Linked DNA regions of Cricetulus griseus. The protein of the gene in region 4 purifies or fractionates together with the protein of the main gene of each other region. This does not show direct contact. Links are inferred from orthologs where the notes say so. Each region holds a gene or a part of one and is shown on either strand. Other genes may lie near its edges. The genes, in order: Frs2, Eps8, Crkl and Sos1.

Evidence for each region.
Region 1: the proteins of Sos1 (region 4) and Frs2 purify together in Homo sapiens (affinity purification with western blotting; 5 studies listed by BioGRID). This does not show direct contact. The link is inferred for Cricetulus griseus from reciprocal best matches to the Homo sapiens genes SOS1 and FRS2.
Region 2: the proteins of Sos1 (region 4) and Eps8 purify together in Homo sapiens (affinity purification with western blotting; 5 studies listed by BioGRID and IntAct, with this or other methods). This does not show direct contact. The link is inferred for Cricetulus griseus from reciprocal best matches to the Homo sapiens genes SOS1 and EPS8.
Region 3: the proteins of Sos1 (region 4) and Crkl purify together in Homo sapiens (affinity purification with mass spectrometry; 3 studies listed by BioGRID and IntAct, with this or other methods). This does not show direct contact. The link is inferred for Cricetulus griseus from reciprocal best matches to the Homo sapiens genes SOS1 and CRKL.

What each region holds. Positions count from the first base shown.
Region 1 is NW_023276806.1:139,240,109-139,243,675, forward strand, and holds part of Frs2 (fibroblast growth factor receptor substrate 2), read left to right. Parts: intron 1-2,269; coding exon 2,270-2,428; intron 2,429-2,818; coding exon 2,819-2,982; intron 2,983-3,567. UniProt on the Homo sapiens protein: Adapter protein that links activated FGR and NGF receptors to downstream signaling pathways.
Region 2 is NC_048601.1:11,521,956-11,525,522, forward strand, and holds part of Eps8 (epidermal growth factor receptor kinase substrate 8), read left to right. Parts: intron 1-1,861; coding exon 1,862-1,970; intron 1,971-3,088; coding exon 3,089-3,232; intron 3,233-3,567. UniProt on the Homo sapiens protein: Signaling adapter that controls various cellular protrusions by regulating actin cytoskeleton dynamics and architecture. Depending on its association with other signal transducers, can regulate different processes.
Region 3 is NC_048597.1:71,850,148-71,853,714, forward strand, and holds part of Crkl (crk-like protein), read right to left. Parts: intron 1,222-3,567; coding exon 756-1,221; intron 1-755. UniProt on the Homo sapiens protein: May mediate the transduction of intracellular signals.
Region 4 is NC_048600.1:3,606,456-3,610,623, reverse strand, and holds the start of Sos1 (son of sevenless homolog 1), read right to left. Parts: upstream 2,845-4,168; 5' UTR 2,751-2,844; coding exon 2,664-2,750; intron 1-2,663.

The DNA.
Region 1 (3,567 bases), on a different chromosome or scaffold from region 4:
AAGAGCACTGGCTACTCCTGAGTTCAATTCCCAGCAACCACATGGTGGCTCACAGCCATCTGTAATGAGATCTGGTGCTCTTTTCTGGGCAGAACAAATAGTGTTCTGCCCAGCGACTGATATTGGGGTTCAGGCTGAAGATCAGAGAAGCAAAGCAGCCAAACCAGTAGATCTTACCTCTACCCAGCTAAAATGGTAATCCTGTCTCTATGAGCTCTACCAAGCGTCAGACTGCTGTCTTCTCCTCAATGTGGCCGGAGAATCAATGCCTGAGACTAACTACTGAAGACCCTGCTCCTATCTTTTATACCTTTCCAGTGTTGGGATCAAAGGCATGAGCCTTTTTATCTTTCACTCTTATGTAGGTCAGGGTGGCCTTGAACTCAGAGAGATACATCTGCCTGTCTCTTGAGTCCTGGGATTAAAGGTGTGTGCCACCACTGCCTGACCTTTATAGCTTGTGGCTGGCTTTGCTTTCTAACTCCTCATGCAAGCTTTAATAAATTATAATTAATATATCACCACACACTGTGTACATAATAAATAAATCATGACCGGGCACTAATGGTACTCTTTTTAATCCTAGCACTCAGAAGGCAGAGAGGCAGGTGTATCTCTGAGTTTGAGGCCAGTGTGGTCTACAGAGTGAGTTCCAGGACAGCTAGGACAGTTAACACAATGAAACCCTTTCTCTGAAAAAAAAAAAAAAAGAGGAAAAGAAAACAGATTAATTATGAATTCATTTATCAAGCATGCACTAAGTACTCCCCCCCCCCATAGAAATAAAATGGCTAAGTATCATTTTTGGATCTTGGGCAAAGAATGTAAACAATGGAGTCAGAACATGTTTTTTTATTAATTTATTAGTAATAACAGTAATGATAATAATTTTGGCTTCCTACTAATGGAGTGATCTGGGCAAGCTATATGCTTTCTGTTGGGCCTTTGTAAAGGGGGAATGATAATACCTGTCTTATGGAATTGTGACAATGAACACGGTCATGATCATAAGGCCCATAGCCAGGCCTGTTGAGTGGTAGAGTGTTGACTGGGCTCCCCCTGCTGTTCAAGATTCTGGAGTAGATGTGCAGATCTCATTTGCTTTGCTCTGAAACATTGTCCTTTAGACAAACAAAAATTATCTGAGAGCCTTATAGATTTATGCCTTAAAATAAGGCGTATGTAATTTATCACAAGTTATTTCTTGCTGTTGGCGCATTCGGATGCTGTCTTAGTCACTGTTCTATTGCTGAGAAGAGACACTATGACCAAGGCAAGCCTTATAAAGGAAGGCATTTAACTGGGTGCTGGCTTACAGTTGTCCTCGTGGCAGGGAGCATGCTTTGAATGCATGGTGCTGGTAGTAGCTGAAAGCAGTGCATCCTGATGCACTAGCAGCAGCAGAGACTGGACTGGCCTGGACTTTTGACACCCAAAACCTTCCGAGTGACATACTCCCTCTCACAAGGCCACACCAAATCCTACTCAAACATTCCACAACTGAGGACTAGACGTGCTTGAGCCTATAGGACCCAGACCACCATAGATACCTATTTCGTAACTTTTTCTTTGATGTGTTCTTACAACTTTTCAAAAATGTTTATCACCACATATTAATTATATATAAAATGGGTTTTATTGGCATTTTCATATGTGTATATAATAAAATCTGATCATATCACCCCTCTTGTCCTCTCTTACTCCTCTCCTCTGTTGCTTATCTCTTTCCCTTACCTGTTAGTCCCCATCTACTTTCATGTCATTGGGAGGGGATTTGGGAGAATCCCAGTGAGTGTCGTTGGAGTCCTTTATAGGAACCTGCGTGAGAGTTTGTTCACAAGAGCATAGGCACCTTGCCTTGGCTTCACCATTGATAACGTCTTTCCTTCCCACATTAACCACTAACTAGGTATAAATCCTAAGCCCCCTGGAGCCAACTCCCCTACCCCATGACAGGGTATGTTGATGGTCTAATAAATTCAGTTCTTATGTGCATAATCCCAGCTACTGTGAATTCAAGAGTGCAGCAACATTGCATACATTCCTTGCCCTTCCTTTGTGTCTGACATTTTCCTGCCCTTTCTTCCGTGCTGTTCCTGGGTCTTGGAGGGTTATACATCCCGATTATGGCTGGGCATCCAGCAGTCGCTTGTTTTCTGTCCTTTGATATAAATACTGCAGTCACTGCTAACCTCTGCTTTCTTGACCAAACTTCTATGGCTTTTTAAAGGCATGGTTGCCATGTTTCCCTCTTGATTTATATTTGTAGGAATCTTTGCATTTAAGTGTGCCCGTGCAGAAGAATTATTTAACATGTTGCAAGAGATTATGCAAAATAACAGTATAAATGTGGTAGAAGAGCCGGTTGTAGAAAGGAATAGTCATCAGACAGAATTGGAAGTCCCTAGAACACCTCGAACACCTACAAGTAAGTAGCCATTCCCCCTCATTTTGCATGTCAGACATTTATAAGATACAGCTTATGGATAGTTAATCTATAACAATTAGAAATGGTGATCAACAACAAAATCCCTGTTAGCTTTAGTTACAGACATTTTTAAAGATGAAAACATTAAATATGTCACATTTCCTAAAATGTGAGTTAAAAGCCAGGAGTATATATAGCTTGGTGTCAGAATGCTTGTTTGTGGGAGTGGGGTCAGGTGCTTTATCACCAACATTGCCACAAAGAACGGTTAGCTGATACAGTAAGACTGGATGGGCTGCTGTTTGTGCTCTAGTTTCTCTATGTCTCACCAGCAGATTAGAGTCTCACTCATTCTTACTCTCTGCCCTACTCCCATATCATCTTTCTCAGCTCCAGGGTTTGCTGCTCAGAACTTACCTAATGGATATCCCCGATACCCCTCATTTGGAGATGCCTCATCCCACCCCTCCAGCCGGCATCCTTCTGTGGGAAGTGCTCGCTTACCCTCAGTCGGTGAAGAGTCTACACATCCTTTGCTTGTGGCCGAGGAACAAGTAAGCAACTGCCACTGTGTAATAGCGAACTGTTTAGTGGAGTAAAGAGTCACAGTGTTGACAATTGGAGCTTTTGTTCAGTATGAATTTTAACTTCCACTGTGAATTACTTATGCATTGACAATGGAAGAAATGGCATGTATTTGCCAGTGTGTTTCCCAAAATATATACAGACATCAGGGGAACTTTCTTTTGAGAAAGCGTCTTACTTTGGAGCCCTGGTTGTCTTGGAACTCACTATGTAGACCAGGCTGGTCTTGGACTTACATAGAGATCTGCCTGCCTTTTTGCCTCCTGAGTGCTCAGATTGAAGAAATTTCTGCGTAGTTTGTGTGTCCGTAGAAAGATACATCTGTTGATGAAGAAAGACAAACTCAGCCATTTCTCATTGTTTAAGAGTTTATGCTGCTTTTTGTGTTTTAGTCTTTGTTACCAGTGAGCTGCAGATGGAAGGGTAGATTCTGCTGTTGAAGTTGCTTGGTTCAAATGTGAACCAAGTATTTGTTAGAACAATATATATAATCAGATAAGTCTGTCTTTTGTTAAGTTATATGATCATTTGCCATTAAGGGATTTTTAGTATTT
Region 2 (3,567 bases), on a different chromosome or scaffold from region 4:
AAATGGGAAGAAAGAGAAAGAACTGAAATTGCTATTTTCCTAACATTTGGGGTGGGTGGATCTCTTTATTCCCATATTTCCCACATATATTATAATATGCCTAATCTTAATATTAATATAAATATATAATCTTACATGTTATGTATTATATAACTAAGTTATTATATAAAGCATTATATAATATATAAGCTTTATTGTATATAATATAAATATGTTATATAATATAGATATACATTAGTAATCATAATATAATATAAATATTTAAGCTATAAATATATAATATATAAGTGGCAAAACTACCACAGTGGAGGTAGTGATATAGAATTCAAGAATAACAGGCCTTAAATATGATTATTCATAACGTATTGATACCAAGCCAGGTGTTGGTTAATGCCTGTAATCTGGGCACTTAGGATTCTGGGACAATGCATTTGAGGCCAATTTGGGCTGTATAATGAATTCTATACTGCCCTGTACTACAATATGAGAGCTTATCTGAGAAAGCAAAACAAAAATGTATAATGTGTAATAATCAATGGCATAATTTTACTTTTTATTTTAATGTAGTGAAAATGGCTTGTAGTCGGTACAGCTTACAACAGTTTCTTTGTACTGGTCCCCCATATCTGATGGGACGAGAGTCTGAGAGACAGTAGGTCTGTGATGAAGGGTCACCCTATCTCTGCATACCTGGCCTCTGAGGGCCCAGGTATGACTCAGCATGCCCAAAAACCGGGATGGATGACCATCTTTGGTCTGTGTCTGTTGACTTTTTTTGTAGAGATTTGTGAGGAAGTATAAATAGGTGATTGGAGGAGGTTGGGAATAAAATCGTTCTGACTCAGCATTATCATTTTATTGTCGAAACATTATTCCAGATATGAAGGAAATAATAAATACTATTTAATGCATCATTCATCTAAAAAAATTTAAGTGCATTGTTAAATCTGTTAATGCTGAATTATTTGATTTTCAAAGAAAATAAACTTAAAAAAATAGGCCCCATATATCAGTTATTATAATTTAAAAAGCTTATGGCAAAATAAGTGTGTTTCCTTCTTTGCTTGAGAAGGCTGCTGGCTATATACTTGAGGGATCCCTTCCCTTGTACTTTTGGTAACTAAGCAAAGGTCTCCTTAAAATGGTCCGTAGACAGAATTTTTAATGTGTTTAGTTGGTTTTGAAGTGTTGCTTGAGTAGCTGAAGTTGTGCTGTGGGCATTGTCTTTCTTCTGTAAATTCCACTCATCCATTGTCACTCTCTCACGTGTGCACTGTTTTCAGTCTTTCTGAAATGGGATTTCACATCGTCTATGCTGGCCTCAAACTTGATGTGTCATCCAAGATGACATTGAATTCCTGGTCCTCTTGCCTCAGCCTCTCACATGCTGGCCTTCTAGGCATATATCACCATGTCTGACCTTAATATGTGTGTTTAATAGATAGCGTCTGAGGTTAGAGTCTAGATTTGACTCAGTACCAACCAGTACCTTGGAATCATTTTTTTTTTTTTCTGTGCAATAGTTTGTTCAAAAAAAAAAAGCAAAAAACATCTCTCCATCTCTATATGTGTGCCACATGGAAGCCAGAAAGAGATGTTGGGTCCCTTGTAGTTGGAGTTACAGGTGATTGTTAGCCCCCAATGGTACTTCGAATGGAACTCAAGCCCTTTGCAAGAGCAGTGTCCTCCCTTCCTGAGCCATCTTCCCAGCCCCAGTTTGTTCTTTTTTAGTAGGAAGAACCCCATGGTGCCTTTTAGTTTTCCTACCTTTGAAAAGCGTGGACTGGCCCTCATGTTTACTTCTGTTCTCAGGCTTTAGAAAAACTGGTGGAATGACAGAGTTCTTCCTTTCTTTTTCTAGAAGTCATGACTCAGTCAAAACACAAACTAAGAAATATGCCAAATCCAAGTATGACTTCATGGCAAGGAACAGCAGTGAGCTCTCGGTCCTGAAGGACGAAGTTTTAGAGGTAAGCGATTTCACCTCTCATTCCTCTGAGACAGCAAGCTTGCTGTATCTTCTAATGTGTCTCCGAACCCTCTGAAAGAAAAACCAAGACCAAGAACTCTCTCTTTGTACACACCGCACCCTGGGCATCTGTATCTCTTTAGAAGTATTAGCTACTTAGTTTATGTGACCCCATAATAGTGTTGAGCATTCAAGTAAGAGACACATAGAGCACTATGGAAGAGGGAAGTGATTTCTTGGCTTGCCTTGTTGTCTTTCTTTGGGGTTTATTCATTTTGGAAGCAAGGCTAATTGTAAATTCAGTGGAGAGGAATCCTGACAGTTTAGTCAAAGACAACATTTCCTCCTCTCTGAGAATTCTTGCACAGACATCATCATGTCGAGGGTAGTGTTTCTTAGGCTAAGTTTACAGTATATTTCCTTGCATAGATACAAAGCATTTTGTTAAAAATAGTTTTTATATTTTCCCTTTTGTGGAAACAATAGACCTTTCCAGAATGACCATCTTATTGCTCTTTGAGTACCTCAAATGATTCAGGTACATTTCGAGAACAAAGTATATACTTGGGGCAGATTTGTCAAAGTCACTTTTTTTTTTTTTTGGTTTAAAAAAAACTGTTATTTTTATGAACTACTTATGTATTGTGAGCAAGAACTTTATAGAAAAATAATAGAACATACACTTTCAACATGGCAGTGTTGCTATATTTAATGATGTTTTATAAACAAATTCCTAATTATATTATATAATCTTATTTAGCTTCTCCTCCCTTTTTTGTTTTTGTTTTTGTTTTTTCAAGACAGTGTTTCTCTGTGGCTTTGGAGGCTGTCCTGGAACTCACTCTTGTAGACCAGGCTGGTCTCGAACTCACAGAGATCCACCTGCCTCTGCCTCCCGAGTGCTGGGATTAAAGGCGTGTGCCACCACTGCAGTCATAGTCACTATTTTATGCAAATATCAATAATTATAAGGCTTCATGTTCTTCCTAAGAATTTCAGTCTCATGTGTTCATACTCAGGTCATTATCAGAAGTCAAAAGATTGAGAAATAAATTTGAACTTTGCCCGTGAGTGGGTTTTGTTACCAAAATTTCTCTTTTGTTCCTTGCCTAATGACAGATACTTGATGATAGGAAGCAATGGTGGAAAGTTCGGAATGCCAGTGGAGACTCTGGGTTTGTGCCAAATAACATTATGGATATTGTGAGACCCCCGGAATCCGGAGTGGGGCGTGCCGACCCCCCATACACACACACCATACAGGTAACTTGGGTTCTGAGCAAAAGGTGACATTCACAGATTTCCAAGAACAGGAATCAAGTGCCTTTGTGTGTTAATCACTTGGAGACTGAGCTGGTTACATTTTTGAGAGCAACTGAAGAACAGCGTGGAGAGAGAGAACTATGCGTGTTTTCTGATTCATTTCCTAAGGAATCTGTTACGTGTCCACCAATAAGTTATTGTTCCTCTGAATGCTTTTTTATACCAATTTATGGTATTTCTGACAGATACAATTTTTTCTCCTTGCCCATTGACGTGGCCCCAAGACCGCCGGAGGGTAGAACTCCATCTTTGGCAGCCCTTACCTTCAGAGTCTA
Region 3 (3,567 bases), on a different chromosome or scaffold from region 4:
CCAGGCTGGAGAAACCCACAGAAACAGCTGACCTGAATAAGGGGAGCTCATGGACCCCAGACTGACAGCTCAGAAACTAGCATAGGATGGAACCAGGCCCCCTGAACATGGGTGTCAGTTAGGAGACCTGGGCAATCTATGGGACCTCTGGTAGCGGATCAGTATTTATCCCTAGTGTACGAATGGACTTTGGGAGCCCATTCCCCATAGAGTGTTACTCGTTCAGCCTAGACACATGGAGGAGGGCCTAGGCCCTCCCCAAATGATGACCCCCCCAAAAAAAACAAAAACAAGATGACACTGACAATGTTCAAGTTCTATTTTATACTATTATGATTTGCAAAATCTGTAACAAGCAAGGGCGATACATTTTAAACTCTTTTCTCTGCCTAGTTAAATTTTAAGACATTTTATTTATATTGCTCCTTAATTACAATGTTGGAGATATGGATTTATACAAGTAGCACTGTTATCTCTGAATGCTAATTTTGCTCATAGGTAATGGGTCTTTCTAATTATCATTTTCCCTGCTGGAAAGAAAACCAGCTACCTATGAGGCTTTGGGAGCAGAAAAGAGAGCAAGCAGGCTGGGAACCTGGACTGAAATGATGACTAGGAAAGGACAAGACATTAATAGTGCATCCTTTGAAATCCCCAGTCTAATTCCCAAGAACACAAGTAACTTTAAGTGGATGGCTAACTTAAGATTAGAAATGAAAACCCATGTTCAAAGGCCAGTCTTGATAGATTTTTACCTCCAATGCCAAGGCAGTCTTGTCATAAGCACAAGGTACTCTCTTCTGGATTGCTTTTGCAAAGACAGGTCCATTCTGTGTGGATGGCAAAGGGTTGATCGATGCCCCAGGAGTACTGGCAACTGTAGGTAGAGGAGTTGTGGTCTGAGGTTGAGCATATGCGTGAGCAGGTTCTGGGATGCCGTAACTATTAGAATTCCTATTTCCATGCTTTCCATGTGGCGAAGACCTCACAAGCTTTTCAACATAAGGAACAGGAATCATCCCAACCCGGCCATCCTTGTTCCGGGCACTCCACCACTGTTCTTCGGGCTTCTCTATTATCACTAGAATCTCCCCCTTTTTAAAGGGCAGGTCTTCAGCATCATTCCCAGGAAAATCATACAGAGTCCGTACATATTCCACATTTTCTTCTGCTGCAGACAAGTTGGGTGCTGAGACAGAACCCATTGGTGGGCTTGGATACCTTAAGAGAGAAACACAATTATTCTGAAGAAAAATCTTATCTGATTTCTATATCGGTATCTGTCAAACAAATCTACTAACCACCCTCCTCTATAATGAACTGTTTCTTCATTGTATTCTCAATAATTTAAGAATGTTTTGTCACTGTACATTCTGGTTGTACTATTGTCTATAACAATATCCTAAATATACTTTGTGTCATGTGTGTACATGGACACATGTACCATCATTCACAATGTATTTTGGAGGTTTGGTTTCAGATAACTGATATAAATTTACTTAACTTTTAAGTAAGTTCTGGCTGGGTGCTGCTGGCATAAACCTTTAATCTCAGCACTTAGGAGGCAGGCAGGTGGATCTCTGTGAGTTTGAGGCTAGTCTGGTCTACAGATTGAATACCAGGATAGGCTCAAAGTCTATACACAGAGAAACCCTGTCTTGGAAAAAAACAAAAAACAAAACAAAACAAAAAAACAAAAACAAAACTAAGTTTTGATACAGCCTTCTTTTGTTAGAACCATCACAGACATATTTCCTCACACTTTTCATTGATGGCTCACATATGGTGTAGTTCCCTAGTTACAACAGACACAAACTAAGAGACCATGGGGGGGCGGGGGTGGGGGTGGGGGGAGCCAGGTGATGGTGGTGCACACTTTTAATCTAGAATTCAGGAGGCAGAGGCAAGTAGATCTCGGAGTTCAAGGCAGCAAGGTCTACAGAGCAAGTGCTAGGATAGGCTCCAAAGCCACATGGAGAAACCCTGTCTTAAAAACAACCAAGAAAGAAAAGAGAGGGGAGGGAGGGAGAGGGAGGGAGAGGGAGGGAGGGAGGGAGGGAGGGAGGGAGAGCCATGGTCAGTTACTTGGCTCAGCAGTACAAAGTGTACTGTGCAAACCTTATGACCTGAGTTTGCTCTCCAAAATCAATGTAAATGGTAGAGAACCAACTCCATAGTTATCCTCTAACCACATACATGTTTGTACCCTCCTCCCCAGGTGATAAAAAACACAGAAAACGAAGTCAAGTGTGTAGTAAGATTGGGGGGGAGGGGAGCTTTTAACTCAGCCCTAGGAAGGCAAAACAGGCAGATGTAAGTTCCAGGCCATCCATCTAGAGCTGCATGAGACAAGGCCTCAAAAAGAAAGCGTGAGAGGGAAGGGGAGGGGGAGTGCTTGCCTAGTATGTATAAGGTCCCATATTTGTGATTTCTTTAACAAATAAACCCAAAATCCAAACCAAAAAAAATTCCATTTTAACGAAAGTTTTGAAAATTCAAGTTGAACTACTTTCCAAACAGTCCTTTGCTGTTTTTTGTTTTTATTGTTTTAAGGAAGTTTCACTGGAAGAACAAAAGAAAGAAAGAAAGAAAGAAAGAAAGAAAGAAAGAAAGAAAGAAAGAAGGAAAATTGGGGTGGAAAGATGGCCACTGAAGTGGTTACAACACGAGCACAAACACCTGAGTTCACACCACTGGCGCCTAAGTGAAAGGCCAGGCATGGGGAAGACAAAGGCAAGGAGATCCATGGCCAGCCACTCTAGCATATCAGTGAGCTACAGGCTTGGAAAGAGACCCTGTCTCAAAAGGAAGTTGGCGGGGGGGGGGGGGGGGGGAGTGGGGGGAGGGGGGTGGGGGGTGGGGGGGTGGTGTTGCCCAATGGGTAAAGGTGTTGGCTGTTGAAGCTTAACCATCCTGCAGCCCTTGTGAGAAGCTGCCATGTGGTGGCATGCAGCTATAACCCAGCACTCCTATAGTGAGATGAGAGCCAAGACAAGAGTCACCTAGAAGCTCGAGGACTAGCTAGCCTGGAGTACTCTCTGAAACAGCAAACATGGAGATCTGACTGAATCAGGGTGGAAAATAAGAACCCACTCCTGAAAGCTACCCTTTTGACTTCACATGCATGCTGTGGCAAAGTGCCCCAAACACTTGCAAAATAAGTAAGTTAAAACAAAAGGTGGAGATTGATTTTTCAAAAACATTTCATCATTTGTATGGGTGTTTTGCCTGCAAATATGTCTGTGTACTGTGTGTGTGCTGTGCCACACAGAGTCCAGAAGATATCAGATCACCCCCGCCCCCAGACTGGAGTTGCCTGTTTTAAGACACTATGTGGGTGCTGGGAATCAAACCTGGGGCCTCTACAAGAGCAGCCAGTGCTCTGAACTGCTGATCCATTGTAGTGATTTAAATGAGAATGGCCCCCATAGGCTCATATATTAGAATAGTTGGTCTCCAGTTGGTGGAACCCTTTGGGAAGGATTAGGAGTGTGGTCTCAATGGGAAAGATCTGTCACTGGTTTTGATGTTTCAAAAGGCCTATGCCATTCCAGTTATATCTCTGTC
Region 4 (4,168 bases):
GAGGCAGGGATGACTTCAGAGTTTTGAGCCAACCAAATAAAATTCTAAAGCCATTAACCAAGAAGTTAAAAACTGGTGGGGGCGGAAGAGGGGTAGTTTTATTTTGAGTATCCCCTTACGCACTTGGCAACATTTTCAAATAACTTTAACCACTGGCAAACTAAAAGTAACATACAAAGGCTAAAAGTTCAAACTGCCAAACCAAAAGCGGGAAGACAGTTTGAAGATTTACTAAGTCACAATGTTGCTTTAGGAGCTTTTAAAATGTAGCAACATTTCCAAATAATTTACTTTAACCTTTGGCAAACTCAAAGTAACACACAAAAGCACTTGTTCAAAATGAATCCTAACAGGTGTCAGGCACAGTAGGATAACATTCCTATTCTCTGGTTGGGAATGGAAAGCATGGATAGGTAAACTGGAACTTAAAAGGCACTGCTGCGTTAGGATAAGATGCTAGCATGAAACAATGGAGCACTATCCAACTCAGCCCTGAGGGTTTGGGAAAAATCTCTGAGATTGAGTAGTATTAGACCAGATAAAAGGAACAGTCTGTCCAAAAAGCCTCCGGTAAGAAAAGGCATAGTTAGGCATTATACAAGTAGTTTAAAGTCTGAAGAAAGAGTTCAAGATAAGGACACACCCACACAAAATGTCCATGGACACATCTACATGAAATGCCCAGCACATAGATGATAATTCAGTAATTTTAAGATACAAGAGCATATTCAGATTATGAAAAATATGTCCAAGCTGTCTTAGGTGTCTGAAGAGCATTGTAGGTGAGAATTTAAATGAGAAGAACCTTACATGTTAGGAAGATTCTATAAACACATCACTTCTGCAGGGATACCTCTGCTTGAAATGGAAAACCAACCAACCTGAGTAACACTGTGTTAAACTGGAAACACAACACTTTCTCAAGAAGGCAGCCACTTACAACTCTAGTAATTTACTGTTGTGTGAAAATGGCAAGACTGTCTATAACTCAAGAACAAAATAGGAATTCAGCCTATGTGATACTTTTCATTTAGGATAGTGGCAACTAATTACATAAATTAAAAAACAAAACACCACAATGACAGCCAAACAAATGTGTCTGTGAATAGATTTCACCAAGGGCCACCCATGTGGCAGGTTAGAGAGGTCTGCCAACTTCTACAATGCACTTTCCACCACTTCAAAGGGTTCTCAAGTGTTATTTTTGAGCTCCTTGCTTTTAAACCAAATACCCCAAACTGGTAATGTCCTGTGAGGGCTTTTATACATATAAATCAACTCTTCTCTCTCATCTTGTCAAGATACCAAGCTTCAAGCATCTTGAGGCACACTTCTCCACTTCTACAAGCTAAGCAGTCAAGTGTGCAGGTAAACCAATGTAAAAAAAGACGGAGTGAGGCCTCATGGGATCATTAATGAACAAAGTATGCACGACAAGGTGGCCTCTTTGATTTCCATAGAAAAACACCACAGAGGTTTGTAAGCAGTGAGACACTTGAGGATAGAAACCAGTAACCTAAATATGAAAAATAAAAACAAAGTCTTCTGGCAATTTCCACCGTAAGATACCAACAGGGGAAGGGATGAACAGGGCAAAGGAGAAACTAAAAGTTGCTAGCCTTTGAGGACTATGAAACACCTTTCAAAACTCTCTGGTATAATAAAAGCCTCCACACAATGGTACAGTAAACACTCTCAATTCTCAATTGAAACAAAGCTGTATTTTAGCAAAGATAGCTTGAAAACTATTTGAGCAACAAGAAATTTAGATTAAAACTACTGAAAGAGTAAAGCAGTTTTTACAGGTAAGGCAAATGTGAGCAAAAACAATCCGGTTGTTTTAAAATCCACTCAACCACCTCTGTTTCAGATGTCTTACTACAGAATCTACTAAGTAACAATGTTGCTTTGGAAGCTTTTAAGATTTAGTCACTAGCAATCTAAAAAACAAAGGCTAAAAATTCGAAATGCCAAACCAAAGAACAGACTGTTTACAGTGTTGCTTTAGGAGCTTTTAAAATGTAGCAACATTTTCAAAAAAAATTTACTTTAACCTCTGGTAAAATCAAAGTAACACACAAAGACTAAAAATACAAAGCGCCAAACCAAACAAGGGTTCAAAGATTCTCAGACTCCCCAGAAGAACCCATCTGAACACAGTGGCATGTGCATCACCCCTGTAATGGGGCTGGGGGAGTGTCAAAAGGACCGGGAGTTAGTGACTGAAGGCGAGCAAAGCCAAGCAGGCCATGTTCTTGCTGGCAGGCTACCTCGCAATTACTTAGGCAAGCACTGTGGCCAGGGCACTCTCCAGCCAGTAAGAGCGCACTGGACTCCCAAAACGGGAGGCTGACCGCAGCTCGCTAAGACCGAGACGGTAGGCAGTGGCCTTCTTTGACCTCCACGGTAAACCGAGGCTCCTCTAACCGTCGCCTCAGCGCTTGGATTATCGGGGCCAACCCTCCCCAACTGTGTGTGGCCTTCCCACGCACGCCGGGCGGGTGTCAACAGCTGGAGCAGCCGGGCGCGGGGAAGATCGCCGCCTGCACGGTCCTCCCGGGGACCCTGCCGACCAGGGAGAAAGACGGCGGTGCGCGCCCCGCCTCCCCGCTCTCGGCCAGCCCGGCGCGGGCTGCGGCCGGGAGCGGGCTCGGCGCTCCTACCTTTTTCAGCGCCGGCACCAGCAGCCCCCGCCACTTGGGCGCGTTCTCCTCGCTGAAAAACTCGTAGGGCAGCTGCTGCGCCTGCATGGTGCCCGCGGGACGCCTCGGGGCGGGCGGAGGGGCGGCGGCTCGCGGCGCGGCGCGGAGCGGAGCGGAGCAGGGCCGCAGCCCGCGCACAGCCCGGCCCCTTCGGGCGCCGCGCGGCCGGGCTAGCGCTGGCGAGGCGGCTGGGGGCGAGGCCCGCCCACCCACCCGACACGCGCGCCGGTCGCCGAGAACCAACGCAGCCCGACGGTGGCGGCGGCTGCATCCCGCACCACCGCCCCGGGGCAGGCCCCCCGCTCCGCCCCGGGCCGCCCTCCGACGCCCGCAACCGGACTGCGCTCCCCGGCACGGCCTGGGCCGCCGAGAGACGGCGCGTGGAGGGACGCTCTAACCGGTGGCTCCCGCTGGCCTGCGGGGAAGTCGAGCGCGAAGCTCGGAGCGGGGCGGAGCCCGGGGACCGGGGTCGGGCGGAGGCGGGGAAGGGCCGGAGTTCGCTGCTGGGGCCGCCGCCGCCGCCGCCCGCCGCCGCCGCCGCCGCCGCGTGTAGCGCTGGAGCTTCCTAGTAGCAAACTGAACCTGCCCGCGACTGAGCATGCGCCGCCGGCCCAGGCCGGTTCGCTCCGGGTTTTCCGGCTGCCCGCGGATGAGGAGGGGCGCGCGCAAGAGGCTGGGAGGGCACTGCAGGGGCGGGGCCGAGGGACCCTGAAGGCGAACCCGGGACCGAAGGGCCTGGGTGTGTGTGGGGCGGGGGGGGGGTGAGCAGGCAAAACGCCCCCTTTGTGTGGCCCCGTAGGCCCGGAGCCCATGCCGCTCCAGGAGGTCCTAAGACCCTGGGTCTCAGAAAGGGGTGTGTGTACTTTGTTCCCAGCATGAAGATAAGGAGTGCCCTGAGCATGCACTGTATACCAAACAGATAGCACAAAAGATAGGTTCCGTCTCACAAAAACCTCTGCTCAGTATTTGTCCGGTGGGAGGAGAGGTCGTCCTGTTTCCCTCGTCCTTTCCATAACATGAAAACGTGTATGTGTAGTAGTCATTGATCGCGTCTACTCAAACCCACAGGCCACATTTACGGGCTTAGTCCACCCTGCTTTGTATCTTTCACGGCTTCAGTTGGATAATTAGCTTCTGAAAGGAATGGTTTATTTTTTCTTCTGGCACACGACCCAGAATAGAGACATGAAGATCCCGGAACGCTGTAGAAGCAGTATCTACAAATTGTCCTTCCATCCCAGGGATGCAGATGTTTGTGACAGTGGCATTGTGCAACACTGTGGCACGTTATGCTTTATCATTGAACGCTTTCCGAGTAAAGTGTTTTAGTTCTCAGAGTTTTAATTTCATAGTTGAGAAGACAGTTCGAAGAACCAGCCTGGGCTCAAACTGACATTATGTCCTGCTGTTTTGGAGTACAATAAACAAGATCTCACAGATGAAACATGTTTGAAACCAGTGTTCTT